Linked DNA regions of Struthio camelus. The protein of the gene in region 2 purifies or fractionates together with the protein of the main gene of each other region. This does not show direct contact. Links are inferred from orthologs where the notes say so. Each region holds a gene or a part of one and is shown on either strand. Other genes may lie near its edges.

Region 1 (7,397 bases), on a different chromosome or scaffold from region 2:
GAGGACACACACTTATCGGTCATTCCTGCTCTGCTGTCTCTGCGGCAAGCCTAACTAAAATACCTACCCTAAGTAACTCTTCCACGTGGGGACTGCAGCAAAGCAAGAAGCAAAGCAAGTGTTAGATTTAAAACTACAGAACATCTGAATGCAGCCGCTTGGGGCTAGAGTTCAGAGATGAATATAGGTCTATTCCAATTAAATACTGTTCTGCTTTCACAGCTGGTGTCAAAAGCTTCCCCTACAGGTAGTACCTAAGTTAGTGTCAGGAAATATTGTGCAGAACAGTCACTTTCTCTAGTAGGCACGAGTTAGTAGAGGGTTTCTCATGTTGCTGATTGTTAGCGTTTAAGAAATATTGAAGTAGTAACTGCTTAATGGCCAACTTGGCCTCCAGTGCATTTTGGATTACCAGCTCTTCAGACTGGGTGTTAAAACCCCGGTCTTCAGTACTATTGCCTTAGAGCCAAAGCAGAGTTCCAGCATGCACGTTAAGAACACACAAGAACACTAGCTGCGTCCTACTGATTCATATCGAGAAGCGCTGTTCACGTTTGTCTGAGAACTCATACCCTCCAGGAGAATTAAACCCAACGGTTAACAATAGTTGTGTATCTGGAAAGATGCAGGGGAGCTACTAGTTTGCTACTAGATGCCGTGTTAAAGCATTACTCACCAGGACACGAGCTTGTTCAGGGGTCAGAACGTCCCCTTCTTTGCAGACTTCATAGTCTGAAAGTAGCGTCACCACTCCTGCAGGAACAAAAGGGAGAGGAGCTGGGTCTCGGAGAGAGGGAACCCCGTGAGGAAAACAGCTCGGGGCTGTTGGATTCATCAGAACTTCCTGCCAGTCCTGGTTCACCATCCTACATGAAGCCCGTGGCAGCTGACAAGCCAGCTTTAACCAAAAGACAACCTTCTGACCTGACAGCGTTTAGAACAGACAGGAGCATAACCATGGCAGATGTATGAGTTAGTACCAAGCATCAGTTCTTGAAATAGGCTTCCAAATACTTCCAAATACCCACTTCAGCCATTATGGATGCAAAGCCAGGACCAAGACTTTCTCAACCGCTGTCCTTCAATCCTGCCTTACTATTTAACCTTCTCCTTAAAAGACCTTGTCTGCACAGACCTTACTAAGATGGCAGCAACCTTTAGCAACTTGCAGCAAAAGTTCGTAAAGTAAAATTTAAGTGGCAGAAGGGGAATTAAGTTCACCTACCTTTCTTTAGAGCCGTTGGCAACCCCAGCTGCCGTAGCTGAGGCTCCATGGAGTGGGGAAACTGCTCCAAGGGCCCTGTGTCCAGGCTCACTGTGTATGTTGCCTTGTTCCCCGCACGGGCAAAGTCCACCTCTTTGAACTGGGAGAACCAGCTGAGATAAGGGACAGGTAACAAGAGCATTAGCTGCGTAAGGAACATCCCTTGGCCTGAGACTGAGATCGTTCCTGGCTGATCTCTTCATCAGGCAGCAAATTGCAAGACTGCATTTAACTGTGGGCTTTGCGGAACCCTCCGTTGTTGCAAACGTCCAAAGAACTTTAGATGTAAAGCAGACGAACAGAAATCCGTAACGGAATTCCAGAGGGTAGGTAGGTACACAAGAAAATTATAGATTATGAGTTAAATTCAAACAGAAGAAACACGAACAAAGAGCCCCATCAGCTCCACTTACAGGCAGGAGGTGCATATACGTAATCACCCCAGCTATCCTCACCTACTGCTCAGTTCAGCTGTTAGCATTCCCTGTTCTCGTGCGCACAGCTTTTGCGTTATGAGAGCCACGTGAAACGGACTGCCCTTCTGCACTCTTTTTAATCGCAGCGTAGCCCACCGCAGCTTTTTTTCCCTGCTGTAGCCTTCAACGTTACGATGCCAGAGCAAAACAAGGGGAAAAACCCCATGAGAACACGATGGTTTTAAGAGCAGCGGTAAGCGCAGCGGCAGGTTTGCCGCCACCACCACCAGTAGCCAGTGAAGGAAAAAAAAAAAAAGGCCTTTTCCGCACTTTGGTATCACAGCTGCCGGTCGCACGCGTACTTACTCGTTCACCTCATCTTTGGTGCGATTCGTGAACAGGAGACCGACTTCACCTCTCAGATGTTTGCTGACCTGGAAGAAATAAGCCACCCATGGGATTCAACAGTACACCTTACAGGCAGCATCCGGGCCCTCGTCGTTTTCTGGAGTTTGGTGCAGCGCAGCTACGAAAGTCCGCAATAACACAGAAGTCTGTGCAATCAATTCTACTAATAATCAACCCCGACATCTTCTTCTTGGGTACTGTTTCATACTGATGCACTAAGTCAAGGACAAAACATACACAGAAAGGTGTTCTGAAAAAGCTCTGTCTTGATTTAAGTTTATCCCCCGACGATAAAAGCGACCGTTTTGGCAAGCTGCTGGCGACGCAGCCGGTGCGGGCGAGATGATTCAGACACCGAAACGCTTTAGCCTTCCGCCACGTACCTTGTGCAAGTTCTCCTTGTACTCGCTGGCCGGTTCCCGTCCCAGCGCCACCATCATCACTTTGTTTTTCCCGAAGAAAATCCTGAGGCGGCAAACGGAGAAGCACCTCAGCACGGGCGGCGGCGGACGGAGGGCCGCGCTCGGCCCGGGCCCGGGCCCCGCTCACCTGCTGTGCTTCCACGCGTTCCTCACGTCCTTCAGCTTGTTGTTGCGCATGTTGGCCACGGAGAAGAGGAAGAGGTGCTTGTAGGTGTCCACGCATTGCCGCAGCTGCGAGGCGGGAGGGAGCCGTGAGACCGGCCCGGCCCGGCCCGGCCGGGGGGGGGGGCGCGTGGGGGGGCAGGCCGCGGCCGCGCACTCACCTCGGCGATGAGGGCCTGCTTGGCCTCCAGCCCCTTCCTGGGCGTCCGCGTCAGGGACACTGCGGAGAGCGGAGCAGAGAGGGCGCGTTAGAGGCGGCGGCGGAGGCGCCGGCGGCGAGGAGCGGGGGAAGGAGGGGGGCGCTCACCCTTGCGGTCCCGCTTGGACTTCGGCATGGCCGCCGCGCCGCGCCGCCAGGCCCCCCCCCTTCCGCCCCTGCGCGCCGCGCCGCGGGGGCAGCTGGGAACGCCCGCGGGCTGCCCGCCGCCGCGCCTGAGCCGGCCGCTTCTCCGCTCAGGCGGCGGCGCGGGCGGCCCCGGCGGCGCCAGGCCCCCTGCGGCCGCCGCGGGGCGCGCCGGGATCGCGGCGGGCCGCTGTCATGGCGGCGGCGGCGGTGCTGCTGCTGCTGCTGCAGTTGTCGCCGTTGGTGACCGCCGTTTACGAGGACCAAGTGGGCAAGTTCGACTGGTGGGTGCGGGCCGAGGCCGGGGGGGGAGCCCAGGGGGCCGGGCTTGCCGGCTGCGTGGGGCCGGCGGCGCGGTCCGGCCTGCCCTGTCTGCGGCGCCGGTCCGGTACGGCAGGCCGCGTTCCCGGTGTGTGCGTACGGGGGGGAGAGAGGGGTCCCTTTCTCCCGGGATTTTCCCCGTCTCCGTACTTGCCCAGTGCTCCGTCCTGCTGTTAGCCTCCCCGTGGCGGCTTCCCCTGCCCGCTGCCCCGGGTGAGGCTCCCTGCGATGCCTTCTCACCCCTCCTTCCCTCCCCCAGGAGGCAGCAGTATGTGGGCAAGCTCAAGTTCGCCTCCCTGGAGGCCTCGCAGGGCTCAAAGAAGCTCATTGTGGCCACCGAGAAGAACGTCGTGGCTGCGCTGAACTCCAGGAACGGCGAAATCCGTGAGTGAAGTGGGGCCTTAGGGCCCAACAGGCTTTTCTCCTGGGGCATCTGCTGATTGTAGTGGGCCTAGCACTTCATTTTCATACTGATAAATTAATATTGCTCAGACTGCTTTATCAGCTTGCAGCTCAAAAGCTTATCCCTTAGGACAGACAGATGCATGGGCTGCAGGAGCTTTTTGCTGCAGAAAACTCAGGTTTAAACCTAATAACAAATAAAAGCATTTGGGGGAGCGAATCTGTTTCTTACGTAACTCTTTGTTCCTTCAGTGTGGCGCCATGTAGATAAGGGAACTCCCGAAGGAGCAATAGATGCGATGCTGATCCACGGACAGGGTAAGAAGAACGTTACATGGCACGCTGGGGTTAGTAACTGTCCTTGCGTGTGGGATCCCAGCCACGAGTTGTCGGAGTAACCGTTAGGCTTGCCAAAGCTAAATGCCTCACTGATTTGTGGTGGATACAAGTCCTGTATTTATGTCCTTCTGATCGTTTTCTGTGCAGATGCCATCACTGTGTCCAATGGTGGGCGCATTCTCCGCTCGTGGGAGACCAACATTGGTGGGTTGAACTGGGAGACCTCACTGGACACCGGCAGGTGAGTGTTTGGACTGTCTCTTTCCCTTTGCAGTGTGCTGGTGTAGGAAGGAGAAGTTGTATTCTAGGGAAACGTTAGTTAGGTGTGACGTTTCTAAAATAAACATGGATGAATACTATAGGAATCCCTGCAGCTTGCTGTCAGGCCTAATGCTGTTTCCACCCCTTGGCAACCAGGTAGGAGGAAGAGATACAAATCCTTTCATAGGTAGGTTTTCTCCCCCAGCGTACAACATATTAAACATGGAAGGTACCACTTTGATTTGAGGTGTTTGCATTCCAGCCTTCTCCTCTCTGTTCAAATCGCTAAGGATAGGTAAAGTGGACTATATATTTAAATTATAGTTTAAGTTTGCTGTTGAATGTTTGAAGAAGGTCTTTAAACAGGGTGAGTTCTTCATAAACATCATTTTCTAAGCTGCTGCCTCTGACCTGTGCTTAGTTTCCAGATGGCTAGTTTGGTGGGGCTACAGGACACAGTGAAATATGTGGCAGTCCTGAAGAAGGCAGCTGTCTCTCTTCACTACCTGTCCAATGGGCACCAGAAATGGGTAGAGCATCTACCAGAAAGGTAAGAAAATAGTGTAAGCAGAAGCTTCGGTTGCAGACATGGAACCCAATTTCTTGAGGAGGAGGGGATGCTGTGCTTCTCTTTTACTTAGGAAAACTAGTTTGGTACTAAGACAAATAAAGTTAGCAGTTACTTTCTGAAAGGGTAAGACAGAATTAAGAGAGAGAGGACTTCACGTGTTTTATGAGCATTGCCAATGGAGTGCTCTTTCCAAAGAAATGAAAGAGGTCCTCCTGTCTGAAACCAGAAACTATTTTGTGTTTAATTGTATAGAAAGGAATATTGGGGAGACTGTAAGAGAAGGGTGGAGGAATTCCCCACCTGTTATGTCTCTATCATCTTCACGTTTTTCACTGCAGAAAGCAGTGACTGAAGGTGAGATGTCCATAAAGCGTTTGTGTTGATAGGCAGAATGTTTCTTCTGGAACAAGCAAGTTAGAAGTTGAGTCAGTCTTTCCTCGCAAGACCCATGATAGAGTAATGTAAGTGTGATTTTGAGTGGCGATTGAAGACCGTTACTTTACAGCAGCTGCTTCTCTTGCAGTGAGAGTACTCAGTACCAGCTATTGTATTCCCGCGGGACTGGAGTGATCCACGTACTTGGAATTGTTCCTCAGAGCCACTTGAATGTTCTGACCTTCAGCGTAGAGGATGGAGAAATTACAAAACAGGTAGTCCTTGAGCATGGATTCAAAACGTTGGATTTGTTGCCAGCTTGACTTTGATGGTACTAGATGGCTGTGGTGTGATGTGCAGAGTAATTTGTTGTTGTTGTAGCGGAGACTAAACTTTCCTTTCCCTGTGGCATTACCTTTGGGTCAAGAAATAGATTTCCACTGCTGAATGCCCCGAAAGCAAAAGTTAGTCAGACTTGCATCTGGCAGAGTCAAGACTATCCTGGAAACCTCAGGCTAATAGACAGTTTATCCCAGGGTCATGGGTAAAAATACTTCTGACTTAAATATCTTGGTCACAGCCGTGTTGGTTCTTCAAAGTTTTTTCTGCTGTTGACAACTTCGCGTGTCTCTTGCTCAGCAGATCAGAATAGCAGCCCCGTGGCTGAAGAGCTTAAATGGAGCGTGCGGCGTGGTCGGGGAGGCAGTGCTGGTGTGCGTGGACATGGACGCGCACTCGCTCTATGTTTGCTCCTTGGAGACGGAGCAGGAGATGAAGCAGATCCCACTGCAGGTGAGCAGTGCTAACAGAGCATCGTAAGTAACTAATTGCCCAACTAAGCATGCCCAATGGATTGTCCCCAGAGCTTTGCTCCAGTGTTAGTCCAGGCCTCCTTGCTTCTGTTCCATGTTTATCCTCATATGGGCAGCGTCTTTATAAAGCATGCATTGCTGGCTATAAAAGGAAGGTACTGGGTTCACCAGAGAAAAAGTTTTGTTGAACGCATACGCTGATCTCCCTTTCTCAGTCGCTTGACCTGGAGTTTGCTGATGGCTTCCAACCCAGGATATTGGCCACTCAACCCAATCTCGTCAGTGCTTCGCGGACCCAGTTTTTCCTGCAGCTGTCTCCGAGCCACTTCTCCCTGCTGCAATACAGGCACGGGCTGCTCAGCCACCTTCGGGACTTCCAGCAGGTAACCAAGATAGATGCAGCTGCAGAACTCTTAACTGGGAGGGCTGACGACAGCTTAAGATTTTAGAAACAAACAGAAACCTTCCCTTATATTAAGCATGGTGAACAAGCTGCCGAGTTTCCCATTTCAATTGTGCTTTCTGCTGCAACATTTGAGAACCATTTGATTTCATTTATATTAGCTGTTAAAATAGTTTCAGACATCAGTTTAGGCATGCTTTGTGGCTAACAACTGTTAGCGTGGGGGGAAATCTAGGTTTGAGCTGGACAGAGACATGCATTTCTAAGAGACCAGTGGCATAGTAGTACTCTTGTTAGGCCAGCTGAGAAGTTTTGAAAGGTGAAAAAGCTTTAAAAAGCTCAGTAATACTAGAGGTTGTGGTTCAAAAGCTTGTGCAGGTCAACCATTTACTTCTTTGACAGAACTGTTTTTGGTCTTTTAAGAGGTGTAATTTCATCTTTGGTGAGACGATGAAATTTGAAATTTGGCTGTAGGGGATCAAATGTTGTTAACTTCATCAGGGCATACTTTCCTGCGCAGGTAGTTTTTTTGTTGTTTTTGTTGGCTTTATGCTTTCCTATTAAATTTTTTTCAGGCAGCTCTGGTGAGCTTTGCAACGACTGGGGAGAAAACTGTGGCTGCTGTCCTCACCTGCCGGAGTGAACTGGTGAATACAATTTGCTTGTACTATGTGACCAGCGCGGTTCTGTAATAGGGACATGCACTGGAGTCGGATTCCGCAAGAGTTTTCCTTCACAGGCCCGGGGATGTTTAGTAATTTCAAAAAGAGTAAGATTTAATTAGTTTCTCAGACATATGAAGACAAGGCAAGCAGACCTTGATCACATCCAGCTAAAGCTACTTCTAACTTTGTGAAACGTGCTGTTCTGTATGTAGCCTGTTTTAGGCTTGTGTAAT
Region 2 (7,076 bases):
AAAACAAACAAACAAACAAAAAAACACCCCACCCCACCAATGTGTGTGCATATACATATACATAGGCATACCCCGAGCCCACGCACACGCCCCACGCACGCTTCGCACACGCGCCCCGGGCGCCCTGCGCTCCTCTCCCCCGACGCCTGTTCCGACCCGGCTCGGGCCGCGGCCGCCCCGGGAGGAAAGCCCTCGCCGGCTGCCGGGGGACGCGCTCCGCCGTTTATTTTCCTCTCTCTCTCCCCGCCCGGGGGAAGCTCCAGAGTCCAAAGGTGCCGGGCGCCGCGCGGGGCCTGCTGCGCGGCGGCCGCCGGCCCCCCGCCCCGGCCCCCCGCCCCGGCCCCCCGCCCCGGCCCGCCGCCCCGGCCCCCCGGCCCGCCGCCGGCCCCCCCGGCCCGCCGCCCCGGCCCCCCGGTCCCCCCGGCCCGCCGCCCCGGCCCTCGCCGGGAAGGCCACACGCGCGCTCACACCCACCCACACACATCATAAAATAACGTTGCAGCACAAGGGCATAGTCTCTGTCACCAGATAAGGAAGTCGTGTGATGGCACAGAGCTAAGTAATGCAATAAAAATAAAGTGTAGCTAGTATACACGGAAAGGCTTTCACATTACATGAGGCACAGCTTGGGCAGACCGAGGAGCTCCATGTCCTGGAATAAAGCAAAATACACTGAAAGTTCCTAGTAAATACCCGCATCGATAGGTATTTATTCATTTGTGCTTCGCCATGCCGTGACATACAGTACAAGACGCTGCTGCTCCTCGTTTCGGGGGAAGGAGGTCACCGTGCTCCCTCGCAGTCCTGGGCGCCCAGGGGGCTCCCCGAAAGGCGCAGAGCCTGGCGGGGACAGTCCGGCTAGCAGTCCGGCAGCTCTCCCACGCCTCGGTGCTCCGAACCACGGCGCCCAGCTCCTCTCAGCCTTGGTTAGCCCTTCTCGCTGGGCGCCCCGCAACGCGCCCTCGCCTGCAGGCCGGCCGCGCGGGGAGGCCCCAGCCTGCCCCAGCCGGGACCCCCGCCTGCCCGCACGTCCCTCGCCCTTCTCCCTCAGGCCCTGCCAGGCTGCGGGGAGCAGAAAGCCCCAGAGCTCCTGCAGCCAGCTTTTAAGGCACAACGTGGGTTGCTCTGTGTGCTTTATTATTATTATTTTTACCCTGTGTAGACACGTGGGGTTTTTTTTCTCCCTTCCCTTCGCCTTTCTCCTTATAAAACCCACCATGTTCTTCAGCTTATTCGTGTGTCGTCCCTAAGGCACAAACCTTTTAATACTACTACAGCTGCCTGGCTTCTTTTATTGGTCGTTAATTGTTCCAAACCAAAAAAAAAAAAAAAGAAGAAGAAGAAGAAGAAAAAAAAAACACAACCCCCCGTGAAACAATCTCAGGTCGCTGCGCTCCGATGTAAGTCATAGAGATAGGTAAGGGCGGGTGAGCGGCGGGCGCGGCGCGCCCCGAGTCCGTGCCGGCGGGCGCTAGGCGCAGCTGCCCATGGCCTTGACCAGGGAGCTCTCGGGCAGCTGCCGGAAGATGCCCCGCAGAGTCTCCAGCTCGCGGGTGAGCTGCTCCACCCGCTTGCGCAGCCGCTCGTTGTCGGTGGTGAGCTCCAGCACCTTCTGCTGCGTCTCCACGTTGCGCTGCTTGGCCTTGTCGCGGCTCTTGCGCACCGCGATGTTGTTGCGCTCCCGGCGCACCCGGTACTCGTTGCTGTTCTTGTCCACTGTCTTTTTCGATTTGCTGCGGTGGTCGGCGGGCAGCATCTTGAGGGCGCCGGCGGGCAGGCCGCCCGGGGGGTGCGGGTGGTGCGGGTGGTGCGGGCTGGGCACGGGCGTGGGGGGCGGCGTGGGGTGCCCGGGCTGGAGGTGCATGGTGGTCTGCGCGCAGTGCGCGATCTGGTACTGCAGGTGCGACGGGTGCTGCTGCGCGGCGTGGTGGGGGTAGAGGGCCGACAGGGCCGCCGACTTGACCTCCTCCTCCTCGCGGGGCTCCTGCTTAATCACCAGCGGCCGCAAGCCCGGCGCCGCGATGCGCTCGTAGAGCGGGTCCAGCTTGCCGTCCAGGTAGCCGGCCACGCAGCCGAAGAGCGGCTGCTGGTGGTGCTGCGGCTGGTGCCCCGGCGCCGAGGAGGCGGCGCCGGCCCCATGCATGCTGTGGAAGTCGAAATCCCCAGCCAGGATGGCCTTGGTTTTCTCCTGCTGCTTGCTGTGCTGGAAGAGGTCGGCCAGGAACTCGTCGTTGAAGGCGGCCGGGTCGATGTAGGCGCTGATGTCGATGGAGTTCTCGTTCTCGCAGATGTCGCCGAGCTCCGCGCCGCCCGCAGCAGGTGCCGCCGCCGAGGGAGCCTCTCTGTAGCTGTAGGCGCTGCCGGGCAGGGGAGTCTGGAGCTGGTGGTGCTGGCCGCTGCTCATCGGGGGCCGCGAGTCCACCTCGTAGAAGTTGGCTTGCTCCATGAAGCACCTACAGCGCGCCGGGCATGGTGAAGGGCTCCTGCAATCCAGGTTTCGGACGGGGCGGCGGCGGCGGCGGCTCTGCCAAGCCCGCGGCGCCCCGCGGCCCCCCGGCGGCGAGCGGCACGGCGGCGGCGGGCCCGGCCCGGCCCGGCTCGGCTCGGCCCGGCCCGGCTCCGCTCGCCCGGAGCCCGTCCCCCGCCCCAGCCCGCCCGAGCCCCGCTCGCTGCCTGCCTGCCCCGTTGCTAGTGGGTTGCCGCGGTCCTGCGTGCCCTATATATACACGCCCGCAGCAGGGCCGGGGATCGCCCTCTAGTGTCCAACCTCCTGCTGGGAACCTTTGACCGCCGCGCAGCCGGGTCTTAGCGCCCTGGCAGCGCCGCCCGGCCCCTCCGCGGCCCCCGCCGCCCCCGCCGCCGCCGCTCCGCGCTGGCCGGGCCGCTGCGCGCCCGCGCTCCCCGGCGCCGCTCGGCGGGGCGGCGCGGCCCAAGGCGGCCGGGACGTTTGCACCGCCCGCTGCCAGCCCTGCGCCGCGCTCCCCGAGCCGGCAAATCCCCGGCTTAGCTGCGGAGAAAGTCTCAAAGTTCACCACCCCCCGCGCTTACTGGCAAATATTTGGCCAGTCTGGAGCAGGAGCCCGGCCGTGTTTGCCCAGGGCACCGACGGCGGGGTTTCGCCGGCGGGCGTTACCTGCCCAGAGCGCCCTGTTGCCGGGCGGGCTCGGGGCAGGCTGCGCCGCATCCCGCGGCGCCCCGGCTTCCCCGGCGGGGCGGTCGGCCGGGCGGCGGTGAGCGCCCCCGCGCCCCGGGCAGCCCGCTCCGCAGCCGGCCGGCTGCCCGCCTGCTGGCGCGTTTGCTTTGGCCCGAGAGCCGCCCGCCTCGGCCGCGGAAGAGCCCTTCGCGGGCACCTGCGGGGCGCCGCTCGGGCGGCCGGGGCTGCCGCCGCGCCGCGGGGGGGGGCCCGGCCCGGCGCCCCGCGGCGAGGGATGAACGCGTGGGTGCCTTCCCCCCTCGCCGCGCCCCCCGCCCGAACCCAGCAGGTAAATGTGACTGCAGGTTTCCGCAGACCCGCGACGGGCGCGGGCCGGCTGCCGGCGCGAACCCGAGACGAAGCCGGGTGCAGCTGGGCCCCGGCTCCCCGCGCCGTGCAGCGGCACAGCAGCCAGGCGGCCTGCCGTGCGCCCGGCCCTGCAGCCCTAGCCTCCTTGGAGACACTGTTTGCCTTCCCAGCCTCCGCTTCCTGGCTGCTTGGGGCAAAGCAATGTTCCCGCACCGCCGACTGCAGACACGACCTGCACCTCTCAGCTACCGTGACCTCTCTCCTAGGGTAGCGCAGTATGTTCCTGCAGCAGCTCCACGGACTTCCTAAGAGTCCGAGTTTCACGCTTCAGCTCGGGAGGGGTAAGGATGCACAGAATTTCCTCTTGTTGCTATCCCTGGCAGTCTGCAGAGCGGACCGATCTATTTGTTTTCCCTCTCTGGCCCTTTGCTTGTCTTCCAGGTGCACCTCAGGAAGCCACCCAGGCATTCAGCTACTGCTGGTCCAGAAGCTCGCTTTGAAACTGGCACAAGAGAAAGGACATGCCAAAGCCACTGGACCAGGTGCAGCCTAAATTTGCCAGAGCAAGATCTGCAGAGGAAACGATTCCAACATAGTGATGGCTGGGGTGAGGGGGTGGGGGAAGGGTTGTAATTCTTCGTCCTGGATGTCCTAGTAAACCAGAAACTTGTGACACAGTAAATTGCTTGCTCAGAAAGGGTTTGAAACATTCCTTGCAATTAATAGTATGGGACAAAGTCTTAAACAGGAAACAAAACTACAGTGTTCAATGAACCCTTTTTTTGTACTGCATATCACACATATGAACCTGTTTCATGAGCAAAAAGCAGGGCCCGTAGATTCAGATAGCCTTGTTGCATTCTAGTATCCTATCAGGAGAATCGAGTCTGTACCTACAGCAGGGAAAAATGTAAATTTACAGACTACAGAATATACCTTTCACTTTTCAATAGCAGTAGAAAAAAATCAAGCATAAATTCTTTTTATACATGGTCAATATTTTCTAAAATTGTACGTGTTGGTTTCAGCACTTAAGCGGTTCCTGAAAGGGGTATTTCACTGGTCGATTTGGAGCTGTAGCACAATCAAAATACCAGTAATAACTCTGAACAAGGTCATGCTACAGAAGAGAACCCTCAAGCCTGTGACAGAAACAAGCTTTGGATGCTTCAGAGTCTACAGTAAAATCTCCCAACTGCATCTGACTGTCTGAATTCTGCTTGTTCCACTCAAGCAATCCCATTCATAGAAAAGGGACAAATCCAGCCCTTGACATTTTGCCTACTGGGACACGCTCTCTTCTGGAACACCAGCTGGAGGTTCGGTTTTACTCCGAAGGCCTTATCTAACTCTGAAGTCAGCAGAAACAGGAGGGGGCCGTGCACGTTTAATATAAAAGATCAGTGCTGTGCAATACAGCAGAAGTATATAACTGTTTGTCACTTAATAACAATACCTACGCCTCTGTAGCCTTAAAACACTCTCACATTTTATAATCATTTTGAAATTAAGGCCTAGGCACACATTAAAAAACATTCAAAGTAAATCAGAAAGTTCAGGATCAGATTCCATTCCTAATTACTGTAATTAACGAACAAGTCCCCACAACTTAAGGACTGGTTTGCTCAGTCTTTTTTACACAGACCCCTTTTATCTAAGTTAAGAACTTTTAAATAATCTCTTTCTGCACGAAAACATAAATTCCTGTTCAAATTGTTTTAATACGGTCTAAAATGAGACTCCCAGACTCCGACAAATAAGAGCATTCTTATTCTTTTTTTGTCCCTCCCTCAACGGCAACTAAAACGTTTACAAGCTGATAATCTCTCAGACAAATGCCTATTTCCACATTCACATTAACAGAGATGGATACCAAATATTTCAGATCTAACATCAAGAAAAAATTTCTGTCTTGTTGCTTCACTTCAATGTGTCCGGGAGTTAATTCAGCTAAAAGAGGAAGGATGTCTGTTGCATATTATGGATCCCTGAAGCAGCACTGCTGTCAACTCTTGAGGGTGCTATTCTTCCATCTCAAAGTAGAGGTTGCCTCTAGTAGCTATAAGCTAGAGAAGGATTAGAAAAGCTGCTCCAAACTTCTGAACAGCACTAAAAGTCATTTATACCAAGTTAGTTGTACTGGTTGCTGTTAGTAGGGAAGGAAACTGAAAAGAAAGTCATAATCATGAAGGAATGCAAATATATTTGCTTTATACAAGTGAATTTCGTGACTGCTGGGGTTTTTAATGGCATCTGAGCATTGAATTCTCATTCACTTCTCCTAGACTCAGCTCCTGTCCTGTTCTCAGGCCTTCGACTCCTGTGGGCTGCAAAAGGGGTTCCCTCGTGTGTACAGCTACAACATCCAGGCTGGCTTTAGACGCCGAGCGGGCGTTACAGGACTCTGCTTTTGGTCCAAGGCCCTGGAAGTATAGTTCGGACATGGCATGCAGCACCTCAGTTAGGAAGCAGAGTGCCATTATACAATTACTTTACTGCCTTGTTAAATTAGAATATTTCATTGCTTTTGACAAAGCTCCAGAATGCCCTGTCTGCAGGCAAAGCTCTCCTAGCTGTGAATGCCAGCACAGTCCAGCGCCTCCTCTCTCCCACCTGTGGAGGGGGTGAGAGGAAAGGAGACAGAGTTGGCCAGGGGCAGGGATGGGCACTGTGGAGCAGGAAGAGGAGTACTGCTGCCCTGGGAATGACGGGGGGGGGGGGGGCAATATCCTCAGCTGGGGACAGCGCGGTGCCCTAAGCGTACCATGGGAGCAGGCAGGCATGGAGCAGTAGTCTTCTGGGTGAATAAAGAGCTAGCAGCCCACCATCTTACTTCTTGTGTTGTAATAAAACACCCACTTCTCCCCTCTCCTGTGCCCCAGGGAGGGGAAACATGATACTGCACATGTAAAAGCTGCCACACCATGACAATTTTCAAATGAAAAGGCTTTATGTGCCAAAGCCAATCCCCTTGGAAGCCAGTAGATCAGGATGCAGCATGGTATGACAAGTAAAGAGGACCTTCCCTTCAGCTGGGAAAGGCAACTGGTGACTCATTAGCATTTCTGATGTGCAAAGTTTGTCCAATGACAGATGACTGAATTACTTATCATTACGGCTTTTCTCATTTGGAGAAACAATGTTTACAGCTCCAGGGTGAAAAAACATAAATTATGCTATACTCCTCTTCCCTTTTCTTATCATTCCCCTTGTCTTCAGGGTCTCTGTGGCCATGTCCTCAACACGTGCTGTCCTTGTGCTCTACTCACTCCTGGCTCCTCTCCTGAGAGCTCAGTCACTTGCAATTACCACACTAGTTGACCGGGAGCATCTTTTCACTTCCTGACACTGCCTGACTACTGCTCACCCACCTCCTTTCACAGTAGGGATCATAACTCAACCTGTTTCCAGTTTGTCACCTGTAATCATGTACAATCAGGCTGTGAAACTGTAAGTGGTTTACCTGTCCCCAATTTTTTTACATGCTTAATGAGCCATTACATACACAGTTCCTCTTTTATGGTTAGGATCATATTTCAATGATTATATGCATGGTGACCAGATTATTCTGAAT

What was found. Proteins that work in one complex are often made in the same cells at the same time.
Region 1: the proteins of CEBPA (region 2) and MRTO4 purify together in Homo sapiens (affinity purification with mass spectrometry; 3 studies listed by BioGRID and IntAct, with this or other methods). This does not show direct contact. The link is inferred for Struthio camelus from reciprocal best matches to the Homo sapiens genes CEBPA and MRTO4.

The regions. Positions count from the first base shown.
Region 1 is NC_090962.1:12,996,733-13,004,129, forward strand, and holds the start of MRTO4 (mRNA turnover protein 4 homolog), read right to left. Parts: upstream 3,123-7,397; 5' UTR 3,008-3,122; coding exon 2,980-3,007; intron 2,893-2,979; coding exon 2,834-2,892; intron 2,742-2,833; coding exon 2,638-2,741; intron 2,554-2,637; coding exon 2,472-2,553; intron 2,115-2,471; coding exon 2,047-2,114; intron 1,378-2,046; coding exon 1,226-1,377; intron 754-1,225; coding exon 677-753; intron 1-676. Other genes in the region: EMC1 (ER membrane protein complex subunit 1), read left to right, coding at 3,211-3,299, 3,596-3,720, 3,991-4,056, 4,225-4,318, 4,760-4,888, 5,433-5,559, 5,924-6,076, 6,312-6,479 and 1 more. UniProt on the Homo sapiens protein: Component of the ribosome assembly machinery. Nuclear paralog of the ribosomal protein P0, it binds pre-60S subunits at an early stage of assembly in the nucleolus, and is replaced by P0 in cytoplasmic pre-60S subunits and mature 80S ribosomes.
Region 2 is NC_090951.1:12,257,175-12,264,250, reverse strand, and holds CEBPA (CCAAT/enhancer-binding protein alpha), read right to left. Parts: upstream 2,579-7,076; 5' UTR 2,447-2,578; coding exon 1,472-2,446; 3' UTR 511-1,471; downstream 1-510. UniProt on the Homo sapiens protein: Transcription factor that coordinates proliferation arrest and the differentiation of myeloid progenitors, adipocytes, hepatocytes, and cells of the lung and the placenta.